2 linked regions of the Diceros bicornis minor genome follow. The protein of the gene in region 2 purifies or fractionates together with the protein of the main gene of each other region. This does not show direct contact. Links are inferred from orthologs where the notes say so. Each region holds a gene or a part of one and is shown on either strand. Other genes may lie near its edges. The genes, in order: CSNK1D and PER1.

The links.
Region 1: the proteins of PER1 (region 2) and CSNK1D purify together in Homo sapiens (affinity purification with mass spectrometry; 4 studies listed by BioGRID and IntAct, counting the BioPlex papers as one, with this or other methods). This does not show direct contact. The link is inferred for Diceros bicornis minor from reciprocal best matches to the Homo sapiens genes PER1 and CSNK1D.

Annotation. Positions count from the first base shown.
Region 1 is NC_080757.1:61,655,944-61,667,380, forward strand, and holds the start of CSNK1D (casein kinase I), read right to left. Parts: upstream 4,444-11,437; 5' UTR 4,156-4,443; coding exon 4,080-4,155; intron 3,244-4,079; exon of another isoform or gene 3,147-3,243; intron 1-3,146. UniProt on the Homo sapiens protein: Essential serine/threonine-protein kinase that regulates diverse cellular growth and survival processes including Wnt signaling, DNA repair and circadian rhythms. It can phosphorylate a large number of proteins.
Region 2 is NC_080757.1:10,252,177-10,264,126, reverse strand, and holds the start of PER1 (period circadian protein homolog 1), read right to left. Parts: upstream 5,393-11,950; 5' UTR 5,323-5,392; intron 4,397-5,322; exon of another isoform or gene 1,476-4,396; intron 1-1,475. Other genes in the region: VAMP2 (vesicle-associated membrane protein 2), read right to left, coding at 8,834-8,850, 9,455-9,506, 9,596-9,934. UniProt on the Homo sapiens protein: Transcriptional repressor which forms a core component of the circadian clock.

The sequences.
Region 1 (11,437 bases), about 51 Mb from region 2:
AATGGATGTTAGCTCAGGGCCAATCTTCCAAAAAAAAAAAAAAAAAAGTACCAAGCAGCAGAGCTTCAAGTTCTGTGCATTCCATGGGAACCAAACTTCAGAGGCCACCAAGCAAAACTGAGGTCCATGAGCCCGCAGCCCTGCAGCCTTGCCCCTGCTCCAGGCTGACCACGGCCCCCCTGCTCCACTGGTGGTGCTGCTCCAAGTCTAGGCCTCAAACTGCCACCAGTCGATGAAGAGACAAATACAGGACAGTGAGGAAGCACCGAGGAGCTCTGATAGCAATGTGACATGCTGCAACATTTTAATCTTATTTTACAAAAGCACTGGTCTGCAACAGACTGGATATTACAAAATCTGGTCCTTCAGCACAGGCAGCTTTTAGAAATACGAACTTCTAGATGAGGAACAAGAATTTAGAAGATACCACTGAGCTCCAGATTCAGAACAAGTCAAAATCAAGTGGCATGTACATGTTCACTCACAGTGTCTGTCTATACTGAGGGGTTTTACCTCCCAACAACCTCAACTCTTCTGTGCAGCTTAACAGCCCCAGTCAGATAAGGTCCCCACACTAGGCAAGATGTTCATCTATGTTCAGACATAGGTCCATGCTGGTCCTAGGAAAACAAAATTACATCCCTCAAGTTGAGCAGACAAAGGCAGATGGTCAATTAAGAGAACCTCATCCCGAGTTTGCCCCTGACCTGGGACAGGAAGGTAACTCCCACTGAGGACTGTCTTATCGATGAAGAAATAGGGAGAGGCCTCAGAACAAGAAGGCAAAGGTCCCTCTCACAGGGCAGCTGTTGACAAGGCAGCTGACACAGTACCATGACTTCTCACTAAAAACGCTCAAGCCACCACCCTAAGAACACACGCAGCGAGGACAGGCTCCTCTCCTGGCCAGCCAGCCAGCCACCATTTTGGAATTCCTACTGCATGCCAGGCACCTTGCTAGGTGCCGCTGACAAAAAATGAAAGTCAGCAAGGGGAAAATACGAAAATCAAATATGAAGAGGTAACTAAGCTTTAGCTTCCAAAAGGTCTTTGTGTACATCATGAAATCCGTCCAGGTAACAGGTGGATGGATCAGGTCACACTGTGATAAACTGACGGAGCAAGAGGATCAAACACAAATGCCAACAGCTGACAGAAAGAAAACCTCTGTTCCGTGAATCAAGAATGGGAGGGGGGTCTGAGGACCCTGCTGCCTGTCTCTAGAAGACAAACATGGACGAGAACAGAGCTCCATGAGAACAGGGGGCTCATGCCACCCCTCCGGCACTTGGCGCCTCGCAAGCACTCCCCAAACACTGGCTGAACAGAACAGCAACTGCGCCGGCCAGCACCACCACACAGCCTGGGCTCCAGCTGGCCACCCGCACACACTCTTCTCCCCTCAGCTCCAAGGGCCATACTGGAGTTTGGAACACATGGTCCACATTAAGAACACTGGCTCTCCCTTTGTTTTCACATATATCAGAGATATACTGCCAGCAAAGTAAAAGGACTTCTGGTTTCCACTGCCTCAAAAACACACCACCTCCAGCAGCGAGGGGGCACAACCCCGTGGAAGCTAAAGCTGAGGGAGGCAAACGGCCGGGCGGGGTTCACCTTATACCACCTGCAATACCAAGTGCAGTGACATTCTGCCCAATTGTGTGCTGCCCAGGGTGTGTGAGCTCTGAGGCCTTCCCAGCAGCCTTCTCTGGATCTGGCAAGCTGAGAGGGAGGCAGACTGAGGATCGAGGCTGCACGTTTTGGGGTCTACCTGGCTCAAGTCCAGTCCACAGACTTTCTGAAGCCTGGGCACTGGAGAAAATAGCCCCAAGATCCTGCCCCCCTTTGAAGGGGCAATTTTGGGAAGGACTGGAATAACTGGCAGGGCACAGTGCCACGTGACCACGTCAGCACAGTAGGCCACCAGAAAGACAGACCAATACTGGGCCTTCTTGGTCCACAAGGCGCTTGGCAAGCTGAAGAACAGCCTTCCCTACTCCCAGTTTCAAACGTGTGAAAGCACAGAAACTTCCAGGCAGAAATCCAAGACCCCAAACACCAGGCTCAAAACAAGGTGACCCTACCTGGAGGAGTCAAGAGCCTTCTGACCAGTAGCAAAAGGATGGTAGCAGGAATGATTTTAATTGTAATCACACAAAATACCTAAGACATACCAATTTTCAAGATCAGGACTCAGTTCCTTAACTAATGCCTGATTAGTTGCCTAAACAAATAGAAAAAGCTATGGTACAGGTGACTCAATCCATCCCATCATCTTTGGACCAGTCATCTTTGATCTTTAACGACAGTATGTGGTGAGCTTCCTCAGACCCACCTTTCTAGCCACATCTTACTCAAGCTAACAAGATCATTTCACATTTTCTCAGTGGGGTCGTGCGTAGCCTGAAAGGGCTGCCATGTGGGCCAAGAGCCAACACTGATTGAAAAAAATGGGTTGTGCCCAATCCCACACAAGTAACTCTAAGTTTACCCTGATGCGTGAGCTGTGTGGGTACTCAGAACAAGGGCTCAAGAACCACAGTCCACCCATCTTAGAACACACATGAAGCAGGAGACTGAGGACAGACTCCTCTGGGACCAGTCAGCCTGATATGTATCCAGTGCTACCCGTGTGCCCAGCACCAGGTGAGGTCCAAAGGATGCAGTAGTGAATAAGCAGACAGGGTCCCCCACAAAGCTCCCAGTCCCGATGAGAAGAGCTTACACCTTTGTGAATGACTCGGTGACAACCGTTTCACAATTTGATTGTCTGAACCCAGCTTTAGAAAGCACAGAGCTGTCTGGCAAGGACAGAAAGTTTCACATCTACTTTTTGATGCTTGCATAAGAGTGGCTCATGGAATGGCCTTTCAGTACAGCTCCTAGGTTAAAGCTTTTGCCAAAACCTATTATTCTATAAATAAGGCAAACAGCTTGCATTTACCTAGCACTTTGCCTCCCAAAACGCTGCTGAGAATGCAGCTGGCTGACTACTGGACATAAATATTTAAATACTAAATTCCAAATGCTTCCAAAGTGTATTTTACTCAGCAGGACAGTAAGGCAGAAGTATAGGTTCAAAGGCATCAATATGGCAGTAACGGTGTCAGGGTATCTAGGCACCAGAGGCAGTTATGAACTACCCAAACACGTCGACTCCTCTTAACAGCCCCCGAAGTCCTGCGTCTTCTCCGGCCAAGAAGGAAGGATAGGGCGGTGGGCACACACACTTGGGATCGTCTGAAAGGCATAACCAGAGGCATTACCGACACAGGAAGCTATTCCTGACCCTCCCGGACAGGTACACCGTCCAAACAGAAACAACAGGGCGTGGCTGCGCAACAACACAACACGCTGACCCCAAACTTGCGCAACGACAGTCTTTCAGTCTTTCTGAACACACACCGTGTGCCAGGTTGGACGTTCCCAAATCCAGGGGGTGTGCAGTAACTTACACATAATTCCTCTGAGAAATGCAGAAAAGTTGTTTTAACATTCCCAACTTTAAGATTCCAGCCAACCTTTTATTACACACGTGTGTGCGCGTATTCTTCCACTGTAAATCCGAAACAATCCAGAACATTCTAATCCCAAATGTGTTTTTCAACTCTACCTTGAGAATTTTCAAAGCCAAAAGGGCAGGCTCACGAGCAGGGCTTCCTACCTCCCTTGCCTCTAATTCCGCCAGCATCCTCACACGACTCCGTCACCGCACCTGACTCTCAGGGCTGTCCGGGCGCAGGTGCCCAAGACAGAGCACGGATGCCCAACACGTCCCTAGCCACCACTCACCACTGACACGGCCGACCCCGCGCCCGTCCTACCGTCCGGAGCCCACGGTCCGGCCCGAGCGCGCGGCTGCACAGGGCCCAGCCGGGGCTCCCCGCGCCCACCTGCCCGCACGTGCCAGGACGCGGGGCCACGCGACGCCCGACGGCCTTCGTCGGTCTGCGGGGACACCGCCACCCCCGGGCCCGGCGCGCTGGGGCCAGTGCCTCGGGGCCGGCCGGGGGTCCCCGGGGCGCGGGCGGAGGGGACCCGATTCGGTTCGGCCAGGCCCGGGGGAAGTGCCTCACCGAGATAGATGTCTCCGAAGGAGCCGCTGCCGATCTTGCGGCCCAACCGGTACCTGTTCCCGACCCTGAGCTCCATGGCGGCGGCGGCCCCGGCTCGCTCCTACTCTCCCGGCCGCTTCCTGGGTCTAAGCGCGGGGAGGCGGCGCCGCAGCTGCCGCTACTGCGGGTCTGGCTGCCGGCTCCGCCCCCCTCACGGCCCCGCTTTCACCATCGCTTTCCGGCCGCCCCGTCGCTCCCAGCGCCTCAATACGGGGCGGAGAGAACAGTCCGAGCGCCGCCGCCCCTGCTCCAGGCCCCTGCGACCCCCCTTGCCCTCTCCCCGCCGCGGATGGACTCGGATCTCCCGGGCCTAACTCCCCCTTCAGCAGCCTAAAGGAGCCGCCGCCATCGCGCTGTGACGTCACTTCCCCTAGCAACCTGGAGGGGCGGGGCCGCGCAGCTCGGGGGGAGGGGCCGCGCTGCGCGAGGGGCGGGGCGGGGCAGGGGGGCGAGGGCGCCCCGGAGTTTCCGCGGCCCTTGGACACCCCAGGCGGCTCCCTTCTCTGTTTGTCGCCTGTTCCCGCACCGCAGCACCGTGCCGAGAGCCCCCCGCCCGACCCCCTCCCGCATGCAGGCTCCACGTGCTCACGCGGGGAACTCGTTTGACCCCGCAGGAGGAAGCCAGTGGCTCTTAGCAACAGGCCTGGGACAGGCCGCCAGGCAGTGCTTTTTGCAGGAGAACGAGAGGGGCCGAGCCCGTCCCTCTAGACCCCGGGGACCCGCGCCCTTGAGACTCTCCAGGAGGAGGCCGCCCTTCCTGGCCCAGCGTCTGGAGACAGAGACACAGGTCGGGCCACAGCGGACACAGGTGTGCACGCCTCTTGAGGTGGTCGGGGGCTGGCCGGGGACGTCTACTGTGCAGTTCCCTTCCCATCCTGCTGTGCCAAGTCCCGGGCTTGCAGCTCAGCCAGCTGTCACACCTGAAGGGTGAAGGGGAAGCTACCAGGGTTTCAAAGGATGAGGCCAGACTGCCTGCCTCTCCAGTCCCATCGGTCTGGAGACTGAATCAACGTTTTTATCTAACCTGTGTTGAGTCTGAATATTCTTCCTTGCAAAATAAAACAAGAATGTTGATGTTCCGGCTGACCGCCAGCTTCATGATCTGGACTGTTGATTCCAGTCACTGGGAAGGGAGTCCTCCAGAGAGGCACGGAAACCAAGAAGGAATGACTTTCATGTCAATGCTTCTCTAGGCCTATCCCCCACCCCGGCTAAAAAGGAAGCACCATAAAACCGGCTGTTAATACAGCAGAGTGAGTGCCCTCCCATGGCGCTTGGCAGGCTGGTCTCTCCACTCCGGAGTCCTCCCTCTCCTCCATTCAGTCTCGGTAGTGCAGCCCATGCCGGAAAATCGTTGGAGCTCAGGTTGGGGAGACTCCTGAGCATTGCAAGGAGTGCCTGGAGACAGAAAGAGAGGCCACAAGGCAAGCCAGGATCAGTCGCTAGTGAGTGGTGGGCAACTGGGAACACCCCATGTCCACGTGCAGTGGTCAGCCTAGTTTCTCAGTCTTATGAGGTTGGGGGGATTTTGCCAAACCAGTGAAAAGAGCCTTTTTGGCAGAATTTGCTGATGAACAATGCCCAGTTCCCCGGCCAGAGAAAGCCACGAGTGCAAACTGGAAACAGAAGGGGGCCTGGCCCCTGCTCCCTGGAAATACTGGACAGGCCACTCGCTCAGCTGCCCTGGGCTGATCGCTGGCCAGTGGTCCCCTCCTGGGCCTTGGTGTCCTCTCAAAAAAGAAGCTGTAGCTGTTTGGGCTGCCCCGTAGGCCCTGTGGTTCTACCTGCTTCACCTGTTTGTTCTCGGAGTTGGTCAGGACAGCCGGCCAACAGCAGGACCAAAGTCCTTGCCTGTGTTTCAGTCCACGGCTGTGATGGAAAGCAGCCAGAAGAGGCCTGCGCAGGGGCAGAGCCACCATCTTTGAGGGGCCTCACCAGGGGCCTGTGCCAGGGTTCCAGGCCCTGTTATCCCAGCACTTTGCTGCAGGTAGCCTGCCCCAGTGGCTACAGTATCCTTGTGTGTGCCTCAGTTTCCCATTTGTGAAGCACGCTTGCGGGGCCAGGGCTTGCAGAGGCTGTGCTAGGACAGCTGGTTCCCCACTTCCGGCCTCTACACTCTTCCAGATGGGAATCCTCTCTGTGCTCACGGCTGCTCTCTCATCCTACTCTGCCATTCACTGTGTGACCTTGAGAAGGACGGAAGTCAGTGCCCCAGACTGTCCATTGGAGCGTTGCCTGAGGACCAGGAGTTACACAGGAGAAGGCCGGCAGGTGCAGGAGGCTTTCGCACATGCCCCTGTTCTTGTTGGGAACGGCCTGGGACATAGCAGGCACTCAGTAAATGCTGGCTTCATGAATGACTCACGTGGATGAACTCCCAGCTCCTAGGCTAGGCCATCCCCAAACAGAACTGCGAGGTGGAAACCCCGCCTTCACTGTTGGGGTGGCCTCCCTGGACCTGGCCCCCAGCTGGATTTCATTGACCGCTCCCAGCCTCATGCTGCCGGCAAGGTCACTGGCCTGTGCCATGCCCTCAAAACTCACTCACGCCCAAGATTCCCCAGGTGTGTTCCTGACTAAGCAGGGGGCCCCTCTGCCCTGCCTGGGGTCTTCTTGTTTCAATCCAAAACTGCAGTAGGAGGAAAGTCTCACCCAAAAGGCTGGGGGTGGGGGCTGGAGGTCTTTTGGGCCCGTCCCTCTCCTGGCCTTTGGACTCCCTGGTCTGCCCGTGCAGACCCACACATGTCCCTGCTGAGCTTCTGCCCGGGTCCTGTGTGTCTGCAGGCCATTCCCACTCCAGGCGGCCTCTGGGGTTTTTTTCGTTTTGTTTTGTTTTGTTTTTGTGAGGAAGATTAGCCCTGAGCTAACATCCATTGCCACTCCTCCTTTTTTTGCTGAGGAAGACTGGCCCTGGGCTAACATCCGTGCCCATCTTCCTCTACTTTATATGGCACGCTGGCACAGCATGGCTTGACACACGGTGCGTCAGTGATCCCCCAGGATCCGAACCTGCGAACCCCGGCCCACCGAAGCGGAGCGCACGCTCTTAACTGCTGCGCCACCAGGGCTGCCCCGGCACCTGGTCTTAAAGCACTTCCAAATACTTTGTCCCCTTCCTTATAACCCAAATTCCCTGTGACCTCCTGGGCAGGCGAGGAGGTGTGGGAGGGGAGTGGACTCCCAGTCTGTCCTCTGTCCTCCGTGGAAGCGGAGCCCAGGGAAGCAGACTGAGAACGGCCTGTCCTGGGGTGTGGAGGATTTTCCATGCTTGCCCTGTGTGTGTCTGTGCGCATGTGTGAGCAGCTTTACCGAGATACAGTTCACATACCACACAATCCACCTGTTTAGACTACAATTCAATGGTTTTTAGTATATTCATAGAGGTGTGCAACCATCGCCACAGGTTTACATTTTAATCGCCCCCCCAAAGGAAGCCTCTACCGTACAGCTATGCCCCCCACGCCCAGTGAATGAATGGAGGGCTGTGCTCTCATTCACTGGTGTGTCGCACTGCTCTCCGAGGTCCAGCCAAGGCTGGCATCAGCTGCAGAAGTTCATGTTTTCCTGTACCCTGAGAGCACACATCTCCCTTCTCCCATCCTGGCCTCACGCCAAGGGTTCTCGTCAGACCCTTTAGGGGCGGGGGGCAGATACACACTCTAGTCTCCAGAAACAAGAGGCGTGTGTGTGTGTGTGTGTGTGTGTGTGTGTGTGTGTGTGTGTCTTGGAAGGACACCTGACCTGGGATTAGACATGGGATGAGAGCTACTCTGGGGTCCTCGCTGCTGTCTCTCATGGTGGCCCTGCACCTCCCAGCTGCTTGGCTCAATTCTTCCTCCTCTTGACTGACATGCCTTGGCTTCTAGTAGTTTCTGCCCCTTGAGCTCCCTACCGTGCCTCCATTCAGCTTTGTGAGAGAAAGTAACTGGCTGGTCCTGGTTGGCCAGTTTTTTTCTGCCCCAGGTCACAGGTCACTGGCAAGCCCAAGGCTGGCACCTTGGAGCCAATTAATGGGGGCGGGTGGGGGTGGGGCAGGGAGGGGACAGGGTCATTTGCACAAATCATGACTACCTTTTGCTTCACTTCCCCTTGGCCAGAGCCAGACTCTGGACTCTGGCAGCCCAGAGTCACTGAAGAGGGGATTTGTGCCCAGGCTCAGACCATGGAGAGAAGGTCACCCCCGCTGCTGCCCTCCTCACCTGGCTTCCACGCAAGTCTCCTCATTCTGCTCCTGCTGGGCATCAACAAACCGTAGGAATGCTGACCTGTGTTGTTCCTTTCCATATTATCATTGTGAGATGCAGAAACTGAGGCCCAGAGAGGCTGTCCTGTTAAAATTTCTAGATTTTCCAGGCAGCTGCAATTTGAAATATTCCGCATGATTTTAACAAAAGACAGCAAAAAGAGAAGTTTGAGAGAAAATGAGATAGCCAGAAGCTGGAAACAACCCAAGTGTCCCTGGACAGGTGAATGGATAAACAAAATGTGGTCTGCACACACAATAGAATATTATTCAGTCTTAAAAAGGGAAGGAAATTCTGATACATGCTAAATATGGTTGAACCTTGAGGACATTATGCTAAGCGAAAGAAGCCAGACACTAAAGGACAAATCCTGTATGATTCCACTTATATGAGGAACCTAGAGGAGTTACATTCACAGAGACAGAAGGTCAAGTAGAAGTTACCAGGGGGAGGGAGAGGGAGATGGGGGAGTTGTTGTTTAAGGCAGACAGAGTGTCAGTTTGGGAAGATGAAAGAGTTCTGGAGATGGATAGTGGTGATGGCTGCACAACAATGTGAATGTGGTTAATGCCACTGAACTGTACACTTAATGGTTAAAATGGTAAATTGTATGTTGTGCATATTTTACCACAATTTTTAAAAAATCCACGGACCAAAAAAAAAAGGGGGAGGGAAGAGGGAGTGGAGAGCCTAGTATAGACAACTCTCTATCCTAAAAGGTTTGGCAGGAGGTAACTTGGGATCCTTCCTCCTGGAAGGTTGCCCTCCCTTCCCGTGAGCACCGGCTCTCTCCTGCCCTGCCCCTTGGCAGCCCGCATGACTCTGATGCCTCGAATCTTTCTTGCTTTCCACACCTGGGGTGCAAGAGCTCCAGACAGCTGCAACGGTACTGTGCTGGCTGCCTGGTTCTTGTTGTTTGTTTGTATCTTGACTCTGTAACCTAGACTTGTGCGTGGGTGTTATGAGAGGTTCGGGGATTCGATGGGAGATGTAAAAGACACTTTCCACTCCAAACAAATGGACTGAAGGTATATTTTATTATATAGAGGATAATAAAGGCGATAGTCCGCAAACAGATCCGAATAGGTCAAATAATAAGAGGGAAAAAACACCAGCTCGACTGGAAAGGGAAAACATCCACATCGGCTGAGATAGCAGCAGATCCGAATAGGTCATATAATTTTTTTTTAATTTAATTTTATTTATTTATTTTTCCCCCCAAAGCCCCAGTAGACAGTTGTATGTCATAGCTGCACATCCTTCTAGTTGCTGTATGTGGGACGCGGCCTCAGCATGGCCAGAGAAGCGGTGCGTCGGTGCGCGCCCAGGATCCGAACCCAGGCCGCCAGCGGCGGAGTGCGCGCACTTAACTGCTAAGCCACGGGGCCAGCCCCGAATAGGTCATATAATAAGAGGGAAAAACATCAGATCGATCGGAAAGGGAAACACCAGATCGACTGAAGGGAAATGACACAAATCAACCGGAAAGAGAAACACCAGGTTGACCGAAAAGAGAACACATCAAATCAGTTACTTCACAGTAAATCAATTACTCACAACATCCGCGCCCCACTGCCGGGAGAGTCCTGTCAATCGACACGGCTGGGCAAGGATCACACATCCTGGGCAAGGCGTCCCTTCCACAGGTGGAACTCTCACCAGGTCTCAGCTTCTAGCAGTTTATATAAGCAGTTACAGAGTTTACAGAGCAAGCATCTAGTGTTCCCATGCACAAAACAGTTATCAGTGGCGTACGTGCCCTGAGCCCCCTGGCTAACGTCCCAGCCCAGTAGTTGTGTACGTGCATTGTTCTCCTTGGTTATCGTCTTAGCCTGGCACGGTCCATCCCGTGCTACGACGCTCCAAGAGCCTTGAACTGTTACAACTTGCAACTCCCTCCGTGGGAGAAAGGCCAGTTCCCGGGAAAAGGCCAGTTTCCACCACACAGAAAGCAGCTTTTATATTTCTTTTTGTGCTGGTGGCTGTAGGTCAATAGAGCGGCCAAACATGGCTGTACTCATGTCAAGACAGTGGGCCACATGTGGAGACGACAGGGGCGCTTGCTGGGAAGGTGCTGGCTTGGGCACCCAGGGCAGCCGCTAGCCTGAGGGCAGGATGATGGCTTTGTCGTCCTCCCCAGGGGGACCACAGACACTCTGGCTCCTCCACCACAAGACCCAGAACCAACAAACTGACAAAGAAAGGGGGCGACAGTTAGCCCAGGAGTCAGAGAGGAAGAGCTGCCAGAGGAGAAATAGTGAACAGCACCTCCCACACAGAAAACCGAAGGGGACAGGGACACACACAGTGCAGAGAGGACTCCCTGCAGCTGAGATCCCTGGCGTCTGAGCTAGAAAAATGTCAGCTGGTGAATTGAAGGAAAGGACAGTCATCAATGAGATCAATGAGTAGCCTCGATGTCCAGGTGGAAGGAACACCTTATATCAGAGGGAAGATGGGAGAAGATGCAGAGCACAAGGAGAAAGACAAGAGGCTTAGACCTCATCGGGAATAGGAGTCCCAGGAGGGGCAAAAGCAACAGGTGGGCAAGTGAGGCTGGGATCATTGGACAGATCATAGAACATCTCCTGGAGCTGAAGAAAGATCCAGGGCTGCAGGTGTGAGAGGCCCGCCGAGCTCCAGGCAAGACGCAAAGAGCAGGCCAGGCCCAGGACCGTGCTGGTAAACCACCTAAATTCCACAGGTAAAGAAGAGATTTTCAAATCTTCACTCAGAAAGAAGTTGCTGACAAAGGAAAGAGTCAGACTGGCATTGGGCTTCTTGTGTGACTAGAAGCCTGCAGAGGCTGCGAGAAAGCATCTCCGGACAGTCAAGGCAGCTCCCAGGACTCACGTGCCCAGCACGGACACCACCTGTATGCCAGGACAAAGAGAGGTCTCAGAGTGGACACCCTGAGCCCAGCCAGGATGGGCCTAGAGAGGCCTCCTGGTAAACAAGAATGAGACAGAACCCAGATCTTAGGACAGGGAGGCAAAGGGACGAGGGGAGCGGTGATGAGCAGTCCTTGCCACTCTTCCCCTGTATCTATACGTATGTGTGTGTGCATGTGTGTAT
Region 2 (11,950 bases):
TTGGATAAAGCTGGGCTGTTAATTTCACAGTACCTGTCGGCTTCACTCAGACCCTTCCCTGCCTGCCCCCACGCTCCTGGGATCCAGGCTTCCAACAGGGAGCCTAGGTAAGCTGTTTCCTGTCCCCCCAGGAGGCTCCAGGTGGGAAGGAGCCTCTCTTGGGCCTTCCCCCACATCCCCTGCCAGCGTGGCCTGGGTTAGCAGAGCCTGAGCAGTCGACTAGAACTAAGACTGTCGGCCAAAGCCTGGACACTTCCCACCAAGCCCCAACTCTGCCTGGGACCCCCAGGCCTCTGAGTAGAAGGTGAGCCTTTTTTCTCCTATATTTAGGCCTCCAGGCTAATTTTAACCGGGGGCGGCGCCACCCCCGCTGCACATGCGCACGGACATGCGCGGCCCCACCACGCGCTTCCGCCGCCGTCGCGGTCGCCAGGGAAACCGACGTCAGCAGCTGAGCTCAGCGGTTGCTGGAGGGACCACAGGAGGGCGGGAGGGGCGACCCCTCCCCCGTTTCCCGGCGGAAACGGGGGAACGACCTACTCCCACACTGGCGGGCGCGGCCAGGGGTCGCCCACCTCTAATACATCCCCAGTCCCCGGAGGGCCCGATGACCGTATGAAGAGCGGCGGCCCATCGGGGTTCCAGGGGCTGGCCTTGCTCCCCAGGGCAAAACACCACCGCCACCGCCCTCCGAGCAAAAGACCCCCAGCCTGGCGCTCGCCTGGATCCCAGTCATTCTGGTCGAGACGACACACTTTCCTTCTCCGGCTCCTGCACCCTCTCCCGATCCCCAGGACCAAAGCCGGCACCTGCCATTGTCAGGGACCCAGGAATCCTCTCCCCTCAATCCTCTCCTTCTCTAGACACCCCCCACCCCACCCCCATGCGAAGCAGACCCACTCAGCTCTGAGCAAGGGCCGCACAACAGCCAGCGGATTGTTCTTCCCCTACTCCCCGTCCAACCACACCCCCAACACTCCGAGCATTTTCGGAGCGCCAGGAGAAAAGGGAAGGCTGTGGCCAACAGCAGGAACTAGGGCCGGGAACGGGATGTTCCAGCCCGAACCAGGCTGACATCACGGCCGGCGCGGGGCCAGGGACTGGAGGGGGGAGCTCGGGGAGCGCGGAAAGCCTAAAGGGGTCCTGGTGCTGGGGCAAAACATGGGACCCCCAAGTGACAAGAAAGGTGTAGGGGTCATGCCTGCTGAGGGTCGGGTGTGGGGTCGCGACAGCTGGGAACGGAGGGCAAAACTGGAGGTAAGGTAAGCGGGTCAAGAGTGCGGACACTCGGTGAAGGGTTGCGAGAAACACCTAGGTCCCCGGGGGCCGAGAGGGGATGGACAGGGACAAGGAAGGCGGATTTTACTGGTGTGCCGTCCGAGCGCCTGGGCCGAAAGCGGCCCATTAGGCTGGAAGTGGCGGCGGTCCGGCTCGGGACCAGAGACCGGCCCCCGGGTGGCCGCGGAGATGCCTACCTGGCCGCGCGAGCGCCCTTCGGCCGCCTGCCCGCCGCCGTTGCAGCCCGCAGCCGAGTGGAAGCTCCGCGGGGCCAGGAGGCGGGTTGCATAATGCCAGGCACTGCCCTTCATTGGCCTCCAGCCGGCGGAGCCACAGGCCCCGCCCCCGATTGGCTGGGGCTCTCGTTCCGGCGCCTGATTGGCTACTGGCCCCCACTGAGGTCGGGGCTGTGTCACACACACGGGCGCACGTGGATCTGGGTGCTGGCGCTGGGCTGAAGGGCCGCAGACACCCACTGCCCAGCCAATGGGCGCAGGACGCCTTGCACAGTGAATAATGGGAGGGAGGGAGGAGGAGGTAAGCTGCCTCTCTTTGGGGAAAATGCCTGGGCCACAGTAGGTGCCTGACATGTCTACTTCCTGAACTGACCAGCCTTGCAGAACAGGACACCTTGGCCTTGCCAGGGATGGGGAAAAGGAATGCAGACCCTGGGAGGTGAGCCAGGGTGGATGAGATGGCTGGTCCCTGGGAGGAGGGGGACAGACATAAACCCGGCTTGGCCTTTCCTGGGTGCTCCTCCCCAGCCTTGTCATCATAATAAAGCCGTTTTACCCAACCCCTTCCTCTGACACTTCAAATCCTGTGGACCGCTAGGAGGAGCGCAATTGAGGGTCCACGTGTGATGGGGGGTGGAGTTGGCGGGGGAGGATGCAAACAATAGAAGGGGCAACTAGAGCCAATAGGGTCTGTGAAGGGAAACCATGGCAGGTGCTTCTGTGGCCAATCAGAGAAAAGGTCTCTGGGCAGCCTACGTGGTGACTAGTGCTTCTTCTCTCCTGAGGATGCAGCCACCCACAGTTAGGGCTGTCCCAAAAGTAGGGGCCAGGAAGCCAGGGCTACAGGGGAACAAAGGGGGTGGCTGAGAGAAGAGACCAAATGGGACTCTAGACAGAGAAAGGTGGGATGGCGAGGGCTTCAGATCCCCACCTCTAGGAAAAGAGAAAGCCAAGAACCTCATCTGTCTCCTTCACTGTATTCCTCAGGCCCCAGGACAGAACCTGACACATGGTAGGTGATCAATAAACTCCGTGATTTTATTGTTAACAAAGCTAGGTAGGGGAGGGGAAGCAGCCTCAGCAATGGAGAAGGGACTGGAAATTATAATTTTTTAAAAGAGGTGGGGAGCAGAACACTGAGTCCTAATTTGGGGGAATAAAGTGCCAGGCTGGGCCCGGGAGAGCTCCAGCTCCATCCAAGACTATGGTGAGTAGTTCCTCTCAGGGCTCCCTGGAAACGTGGGTGGCAAGTGCAGAGGCCCCCAAACTGCTGCTGACAAAGTCAGCTGTGGGTGCACGCCCCTCACTGTCACGTGGCCTAAGCTTTCCTTAACAACGGTGTTCCCCATGGGGGTGGGGGGCAGAGGAGAGCACTGTGGAAAAGCTGGGACACAGGGATGTTACAAAATAACCCAGAAAAACCAAAGCAAGAAAACAGGAAACAAAGGATTCAGGAGCCTAGATTCTCAGCCTTCTCTCCTTGAAAATGTCCCCCCAATTCATATACTGTGGCCCACTCCCTTGCCTCATTTTCAGACACCTCTTCTCCGGAAACATCGTTTCTCTTCCTCCCCAACTCGCGTCATGGATTTAGGTGTGATCTCCCCTGACACAGGCAGTCCTTGCTCTCCCGCCTCCCCCTCCTTTATCTTTTGCATGGACAAAAGGGTCCAGCGCTCCAGCAGCCCCCGCTTGCTCTCAAGGCCCTGGTTGTCCTGCCTCACGGTCCCCACAGTAACCAGGCCCTGCTGCCGTCAATGGAGGAGGGGGGCGGGAGATAGCAGTGACGTCCAAGTGGAGGAAGGGGGCGGGGCGAGGCAGTCGGGGAATGTGGAGCAGGGAGGCTGGAGAGGCAGCGGTTTGGGAGGCGGCCAGCCCGAGAGGGCGGCGGCCAGCGCACTTGGGAACATCATGTTCTCTTGGCTGGTGGCCCAGGACATGCACCCAGCCTGGGCGCCTCCCCCAAACCAACGACAGCCGTCCTGTCCCAAAGCCAGGGATTCCTGGAAAGAGGATTAGGAGGAAGGGGTCCCCCGCGCCCGCCCCCACGCCTGGCTCTCTTCTCAGGACTCGCATCCGCCTTCCCCTGGGCTTGTTTCTACAGCTTCCGGCACTGGCTTTCCTTCTCTCCCAAACTGTACACATCTGCTGGCTCAGTCCCAAAGAGCCAGGGCGGGGAAGTTGGAGGCCCAGGTTCTGCGAGAGAACACCACCTTTGCTCCTTCCAGAGGCCCCCTTCAGAGCCTGAATCTCTTGTTATTATGGCAGCAGAGACACGGAGGAGGGGCGGGAAGCAGAATGGGTCTAGGATGAGGAAATCGAACCGGAACAGAGCAAGTGGCCCAGCCCGGGGCTTGGATCCTGGGAGAGGGATACAAGAGTGGAATGACGATTTGGGGCTGCTGCCTGAAGACAAGAAGTACCAGGAAGAGGGAAATGGGGAGGGAGACACCAAAACTTCCAGAAAAACTTGAGAATGTGAGAATAGTTCCCAACCACAGCATTCACATAAATCTCTCACCCTGTCACTGTTCTTTTGTCATCCTAAAGCCATTATTTTTTAGCTAAAAAAAATTTAAAAACAGGACCCAGGCATTTCGCTAAGCACTTTACATACATTATCTTATTTAATTCCCAGAACAACCCTGTAAGATGGGTATTATTATCACCACTCCACAAGGACCAACTAAGGCTCAGAAGTTACTAAACTTGCCTAAATTGCCTCATAATATATTCTCAGGCTCTTAACAAATGAGGCCCAGGGTTCAAATCTGAGCCATCTGATAATGGCTTATCATTCTGGCTTCTTACCCTCAGGAACCTATGAGGTGTTAAATAGCACTGGGGAACCTGGGCCTATCAAATACCCAGCACTAAGTTTGGTGCTTCGATCCAACCCCTCCTTTCCTTTGGGCTGAATCTCAGACATTCAGTTTGCATTCTCCACACACTTTGAATCATCATAGCCCCAGTCTTCACATGCTCACAAAGTCCTTGAGATCACCCTAGCAGCCACCACCCCAGTGGTTTCCTAGGGACCCCACGTCCTCACTCTTCCACCTTACCCCAGGTCACTTTACCACAGACCTGGTTGTTTGTACAGACAGATACCAGAGCACCCTGTTGGTGCCTCCTCACCTTCAGGGTCTCAGGAAGACATGTGCATAGCCAATCTGCACAACCCCATCCTCCCTCTCAGGACTCAACAGTTTCTACCCCACCTTTACACCCAAGGATGGCTCTGAGGCCCAACCTCTCCCCTTTACACACGAGAAAGACATCCAGAGCCATGATGTGACTGGCTCAGGGTCATACAAATCATCTCACCACCCTTTCTCAAATCACCATGTCAGCCCTTCGATACTCTCCCACCTGCCCTACCAGGGCCTCCTTCCAGCCTCAGAACTCCTGCCTCTTTTCAAGTGCTTAAGGCACCCACTCAAACAGCAGCCACGCACTGGAACGTTCCCCACCAGCTCTCAGGGGTTCCGTCCTGGGACCTCCAGGGAACAGGGGTCTCAGGTCCTCAGGTCGCTGAGGGCTTCCGAGCCCCTCCTCCCAGGCAGTCAGGGGTCCAGGTGCCCTAGGGCGGTGAGGGATCTGATATCAGTGACTCCCGCCCACGTCCCTCTAGAGCTGAGTTCTCGGTCCCTATTCCCCACAACCATCAGAGCTCTCATCGCGGCGAACACGCATTCGCACGATCCCCCCGGCACTCCCTCCATTAATACCCCTCCTGACAGAACACACCAACCGGGAAACACCCATACCGACCGCCGCTCGTCTCCCCCCAACCCCGAGCACTCACCGCTCGGCGCGCACGCAGAGTCCAATATCTTCGCAACCAGGACCAGAGCTACCGGGACTCGCTCCTCCGAGCCCACCCACCGGCCGGGCTGCCACGCCCCTCAAGCTTATTGGCCTAAGGGCGCCGACCCATGCCCCGCGCCGCGTGCGGCCGCCCGGCCCCCGCACCGGCACCTTCGGCAACCACCGCCCGCCGTCATTTTCTCATTGGTCAGCTTGCCAACCGGCAGTGACAGCTCCACGTGCGGGAGGGGCCGCCCCTGCGCGTTGATTGGAAGTCTGACAGAAAGCCACGCTCCCATCCACTTCCGAAGTTCCTATTGGCTGTGGCAAAATTCCCCGACCTGCCTAGATCGGTGACGCAAATTCCAGTCCAGCCCCCAAACTTTCTCATAGGCTGAGATGTGCCGGAGCTGTAGAGGACACGTGCCGGCAGTCTCACGCGGCAACTTGTTTACCTAGAAGCTGGGGATTTTCCTTGACGACATTGTCACCCGACAGCAGAGTCTGCGCAGGCGCATGTGTAACCTGCACGCAGGCGCAGACATGAGCGGCGGTGGCGTTGGTGGGGGCGCTTTGTGCCGAGATTGGGCGAGCAGTCTCGGCCGTGACAAGAGCGCTCCCCACGCTAGGACTCCGGCCCTGGGTCCCCGAGGTTCCTCGAAGCTGGAAGGTTCGAACCTTAGGGTGAAGCGGTCTCCATATGTCAGTGCCTCGTGATGATGACGACGATGATAGCTGTCTCTTGATTGATTTCTGTGGACCAGGCCAGGCGCTTCTTACAAACCCAGAGGCCAGCTCACTTACTACCGGCTCACTCACAAATGAGACTGAGCTCCAGAGAGGTAACATGATCTGTCTGGATTAACACTAGTCAGTAATGGGGTCAAGATTTGAACCCAGGTCCCTGACACTATAAAGAAGATGGGTCCTAGGATCTAGGGGAACCCTAAACCTGGAAACAATTCAGTATTTGAAGTGTGAAAAAGCCCTGAGCACTGTCTGCAATATAATAAGCCCTCAATGAACGGTGAGACATTATAATAACTATGTACCTAATTATAAGAATCACCTGGGTCCCTTAGACAATCTATTTTAGAAAGCATCCCTGGTAGTTCTTAAGAGCCCACAAGTTTGAGAAACACTAAGTCTCTTATACTGCTGAATCTTCATGTTGCAGCCAGAAATCAGCCCTCCACAGCTCACCTGGCTCTCTCCACATATTGCTGAAGCACCTGGGGACAGGAATGCTAAGGTGCCACATCAGGGGCATCATGGAGACTAAGGGAGTTCAGACGGTCTAGAGTCACCAGTTGGACAACACAGAGTGCAGGGGTAGCAGGCCATCCATGGCCAGCTCCACACCACACTCAGCTGGGTCTTCTTGAACTGATTCATTCACTAAGTACTTATTAATGCCTTCTGGATGCTGGCACTGTGCTAGGCACCAAAGGGAAGCAATGTTTTGCACAAGTTAGCCATCTATTTCAGCCCCAGGAGTAAATGACCATGGGAGCGACTGCTGAGCATCTGGGAGTTAAATCAAAATGTAGAAAGGAATTCAACAAACAGCAGAAGCATGCCTCCCAAGCAAGAAAAGGGGCGGGGGAGTTGGGAAGCCCAGACCTCAGGGTTCAGGTGAGACGCAGGGATCAGGAACACTTCCTGTTATCAACTCCTGGTGCCCCACCGTGGCCACTCTGGGAATCACACTTTGCCCTACCCAAGGTCAGGCCCTCCGGCAAAGCTCAGTCCCTTCCCAATGTGTCTTCTCAACCTTCCTGTTATACCTGCAGATCCAATACCCTTCCCACTGGTTAAGATCTTAGAACAGACACCACCTGGTTACTCATTACACATTTATTGTACATTTTCACAATCTGGATGTGCCACAGAATTGGGGGCATGGGGTGGGGGGGCAGGGGACACTGGGATAATATGGGGGGGTCTAGAACACAGCACCCCCACCCCCAGCATCTCTCCCTACCCTTTCATACCACAGCTTAGATCTCCCTGCTCCCCCTCCACCCAGAAACTTTGAGTGTGGGGGGAAGAGTTGGGGGTGGGTCCCCTCCAGTGGCAGGTTAAGGGACTGCACTCTCAGACCCCTAAAATTGTGCCATTTAAAAAGATATTAGACCCTTCCTCTATCACTTCACCTAAGGAGGACAGCTCTAGCTTTGGGTTTCACCGCCCTAGAGAAGGGTGAGAATCCCCATCTTCCAGCAAGTCCATGTACACATTGGCAGTAACTAGTACCCCACCCTGAATTCAAGGGGGCAGTCAGAGGAGCTGGGCAGTGATGGGGGCAACACTCCCCAAATTGGGGAGGAGGGTTTTTAGTCCAAGCCCCAGCAGGGGTGGGGCCAGAGGAGATTTCAGGCAGGAATTGGGGGGATTCTCTGTCCTGCCCTACTCCTCCCCAAGGCAGTGATGACCGCCCACACACTGGTAGCCACCTCTCCCAAAAGAAATCACATTGTGGCCAACCCCCAACTCTCCTGGTGGAAGGGGGAGGAGGCAGATCAGGCAGATGGGAGGGAGGGAGATCCCATGGGAATGTCAGTTGGGCACCCCACATGAAAATGGGGGAGCAGGAATGTGGGGAGAGACTCCAAGTGGCAGAATTAATGGTCCATCATAACACACTGAACTCCAAGACATTTTACACACCAGCTGGGGGGAGGGAGAGGAGGGGACAAGAGGTTTGGAAAATGGGAGTAGGGGAGGCAAACTGGACTAGGGGGGCTAGGAGGGGGCAATTCTGGGGGCCAGAACAGCCTGGCTCCCCAAAAGCCCAGGCTCCCCACCACCTGCAAGTAACATCATGCAAATGAAAGTGTGATACAAGGACAAATGGGGACTAACTCCTCAGTAAAAAAGAAACACGGGTTGAAAGAATGAAAAGTGATGGAAAAAAAAAGGAGGAAACCAAAAGGGATGTCAGTATGCAAATGATTGCTAATTAACATGCTGCAAGCTCCCAGAAGACCTTGGGATTCTTAGGACCAAGTGGGGCCAGCCTCAGAGCCTCCCAATGATGCAAAGAAGATGCACCTAAGGAGGCCTGGACAGTTGCTTTTTGCTTTTTTTTTGTAGGGGACTGGGGGTACGGGGAAGGCCAGGGTGGAAGGAAGGATCAGCTAAATCCAAGGGAAGGAGGAGAGGAAGAGGGACTATTGCATAGCAGATGCAAATGAAGGGACTTGGGGCTGGTTAGGAAGAGAGGGAAAGGGAAGGAGGGAAAGAGAAAGGAGGTGATGGGAACTTCAGGAAGGGGTGTTAAGGACAACCGGAAAAATCTTCTAGTAATAAAACTACAAACAGACCAAATATATATAATATTATATATGTATAAATAACAGCTGGCTATTTACAGGGGGGGCACACACACGGACACACACACACGGATCCAGGGGAGGGGGGGTTGGAAGATATGGCTGAGAGGTGGAGGAGCGGCTGGGGATGGAGGGGAGAGGCCCTTCTCTGGGCAGGGCAGGCTCCTCAGGGGTTTAAGAGCTGAAGTAAACTGTAGAGAGGGAAAGAGAAGGAAGAAGAGGGAGAGGGGAGAAAGAGAGAGAGAGAGAAAGCAGTGTGTCAGGCCTGGCCCTGCTCCCATCCTCCCCACTTCCCAGCTGGCTGACATCCCTTCCCCTCTCAGTCTCAGGTTCACCATCTGTAAAGCAAGGGGGCTGGACAAGTGAGTTCCAAGGTCTCTTCAACTCCATGGTATGGCCTTGGGGCCACAGACCCCTAATCCTCTGGGCCTCTGAGACCACAAGGTCTCAAGGTGGTTGGCTTCCTAGCCATGACTCAAGCCTTTCCTGCTCTCCCACCCTCCAGTTCCAGGGTTCCCAGACTGGGCTTTCAGGCCCAAAGGGTCCTCAAGGGAACAGTGAGGATCCACCTGCTTTCCTGTTTCCAGAAATCTTAACAGAAATTGCCCAGAACCAGGCAAAGCACAAGCTAAACAACATCAAGGTTTTGGGCTCTAGGTGAATCATAACTGCCGTGGCAGCTATATATGCTTTTTGCTGAATAGTAAAAAAGTAGGTTAATGATCTTCAAAACCCAGAATTTGCAGGGGGAAGCCTCTCCAGAGAAAGGGACCTAGCCACTCCCACCCTACTCACCGATAATGATGATGAGGATGATGGCGCAAATCACTCCCAAGATGATCATCATCTGGGGGCGAGAAGAGAGAGTGAGACAGACCATGATACCCCCCTTCACCCACCAGTCCTATCTGCCCTCTCGCCTGCCTGCACCCCTACCTTGAGGTTTTTCCACCAGTATTTGCGCTTGAGCTTGGCTGCACTTGTTTCAAACTGGGAGGCCCCCGCCTGAAGTGCGTCTGCACGATCGTCCAGCTCTGACAGCTTCTGGTCCCGCTCCAGGACCTTGTCCACGTTCACCCTCATGATGTCCACCACCTGGGGGAGGGGCCCACAAGGCAGAGGGTGTGCCAAGGCCCACTTCAACGAGGGCACTTCTTGACCGTGTGCCCACATATGGAACATGCACCCCGATGTTGCCAGGCTAACATGCCAAGGACACACACAGAACATGCCTAGCACACCTCGGGACATGCAAGGGGCATACATCAGGGGCATGCTGGTAGCCAGACATCTCAAAATGTCATAGCAGCACCCTCTACTTATCAAGCCTCCAGCAGCCTGCCCATCACCAGAGCACACTTGCTCAGGCTGAAACACCCCAGGCTAGCAAGGCTGACTAACCCCAGGGCCTTTCTAAGTGCATGCTGACAGGGATGGGGCATGGTATGTCTTTGTCCCAAAACCAATAAACGTGAACTGCCATCACCCTCGACCCAAGATGGGTCCCACGCCGGTTTGCCAGCCCTCAGGGTCCTTCCCACTGCCTTTGACACCCCCCATACTCACCTCATCCACCTGAGCCTGGGTCTGCTGCAGTCTCCTGTTACTGGTGAGGTTTGGAGGTGGTGCAGGGGGGCCTCCCTCCCCAGCTGGGGCGGCAGGGGGGGCGGTGGCAGCGGTGGCCGACCTGAGGGGCAGGAACCCATTAAGACCCAGGGCCTAGAGCCTCTAACCCCGTAGCCAGGGCTCCGCCCATCCGCCTGTCCATCCATCTGTCCATCCAACCGTCCCTCCCTTCCTCCTTCCCAGGAGGAAGGCCACCCGATGGGCGCCCTGGACTCCGTCGGGCTCTGCCGCCGACAAGCTGCGTGACCTTGAGTGAGGCCTCCTCCCCACTCCGGGCCTCAGTTTCCCCGCTTGTCAAATGAGAGCGACCTCACAGACACGGTCGGGGGTCGACCCGAAATGACTAGCGGCAGCGATGACAGAGGCGGACGGCCGCCGGGTCCGCTCCCTCCTGCGACCACCGCCCGCGCGGCCAGCCCGGGACGCGGGGCTCTCCGGCTGCCCGCGCGCAGTCACGGGCGCCGGCCTGGCCTCGGGGCGCGGGCAGCGCAGGGGGCGCGGGCCGAACCCGGGCACTCCCCGGGCCCGCACCCACGGGGGCGGCCGGCGCAGGCAAGCCCGGTGTGGGCGCGGGCGGCCGACTCACATGGCGGCGGCAGCGGGCGGAGGACTTGGCAGCTGCAGCGATGGCGGCGGCGGCGGCGGCTCGCGCTGGCTCCGACTGGCGCTGGCTGCCGGGGACGGGAAGATGGCGGCCGCACGTCACCCACATCCGGGCACTGCGGGCGGGGGCGGGGCGCGGCGGCGACTCGTCTGGAGCCGGGCCGCGGGGGCGGGGCGGGGCGCTGCGGGGAGGGGGTCGCGCCCGGCGGGGCTGCGTGCATGGAGCTGCGGTGTCCCCCGCACCTGTCCCCGCCCCGCGAGCCCCAAGGCTGACTGCCGCGGCTTCCCCACATCCGCCGCCAACCCGCCCTGGCTGACCAAAGACCTCACAGCCACCCCCGCGCCTCTGCCCCTACGGCCCCCCACCCCCAAACCACGTCCTCCCTCATCAGTCCCCACCCCACACCGCCCAAGGTCTCGGCCTGCACCCAGGTCCCAGTGCCTGGTGACCCGCCTTCAGCACTTGGAACGGGGATGGGAAATCAGGTCCGCGGGGCAATGTGGATAGCTGGGACCCTGCTGTCGAGGTGGAATGGAGTGGTGGGAGTAGGTCCCCAACCCATCACCCTGCAGGCGGAGGTCTCAAGGGAGGTCTAGGGCCCCTGGCTGCCGAGGAGGGGGGTATGAAGAAAAGGAGATGAGGCAGGCTACCCCCCGCCTCCGCCCCCAGCCTCGCCCCAACCAAGTCACTGCAGTGTGTGAAAGATGTGAAAGCTGTCCCTCCTCACAACTGGAGTTCAGACCAGGGGTACTGCAGGCCAGGACCCACTGAGGCTGGGCAAGTTTAGGACCCCAGGGAGGAGGGGGAGGAGGGCACGAGGCTGCCCCGTGGGACTGCTTCACGTGGTGGCTGCAGACTGGCCAAAACAGCTCTGGCCCAGGGCTGGGTCACCTACCCCCGCGGCAGGAGGAGGGCTCAGTTTTTGATCCCAGATGCAGGGCCTGGGCGGAAAGGACAGGGCATTTTTTTTCCCTTTAGGGAGAACGAGGACAGTAGGCAAGGGGACATCTGCAGTGCCCAGGTTACATGGTACTACTTTACACACATATTAGCCTCATATG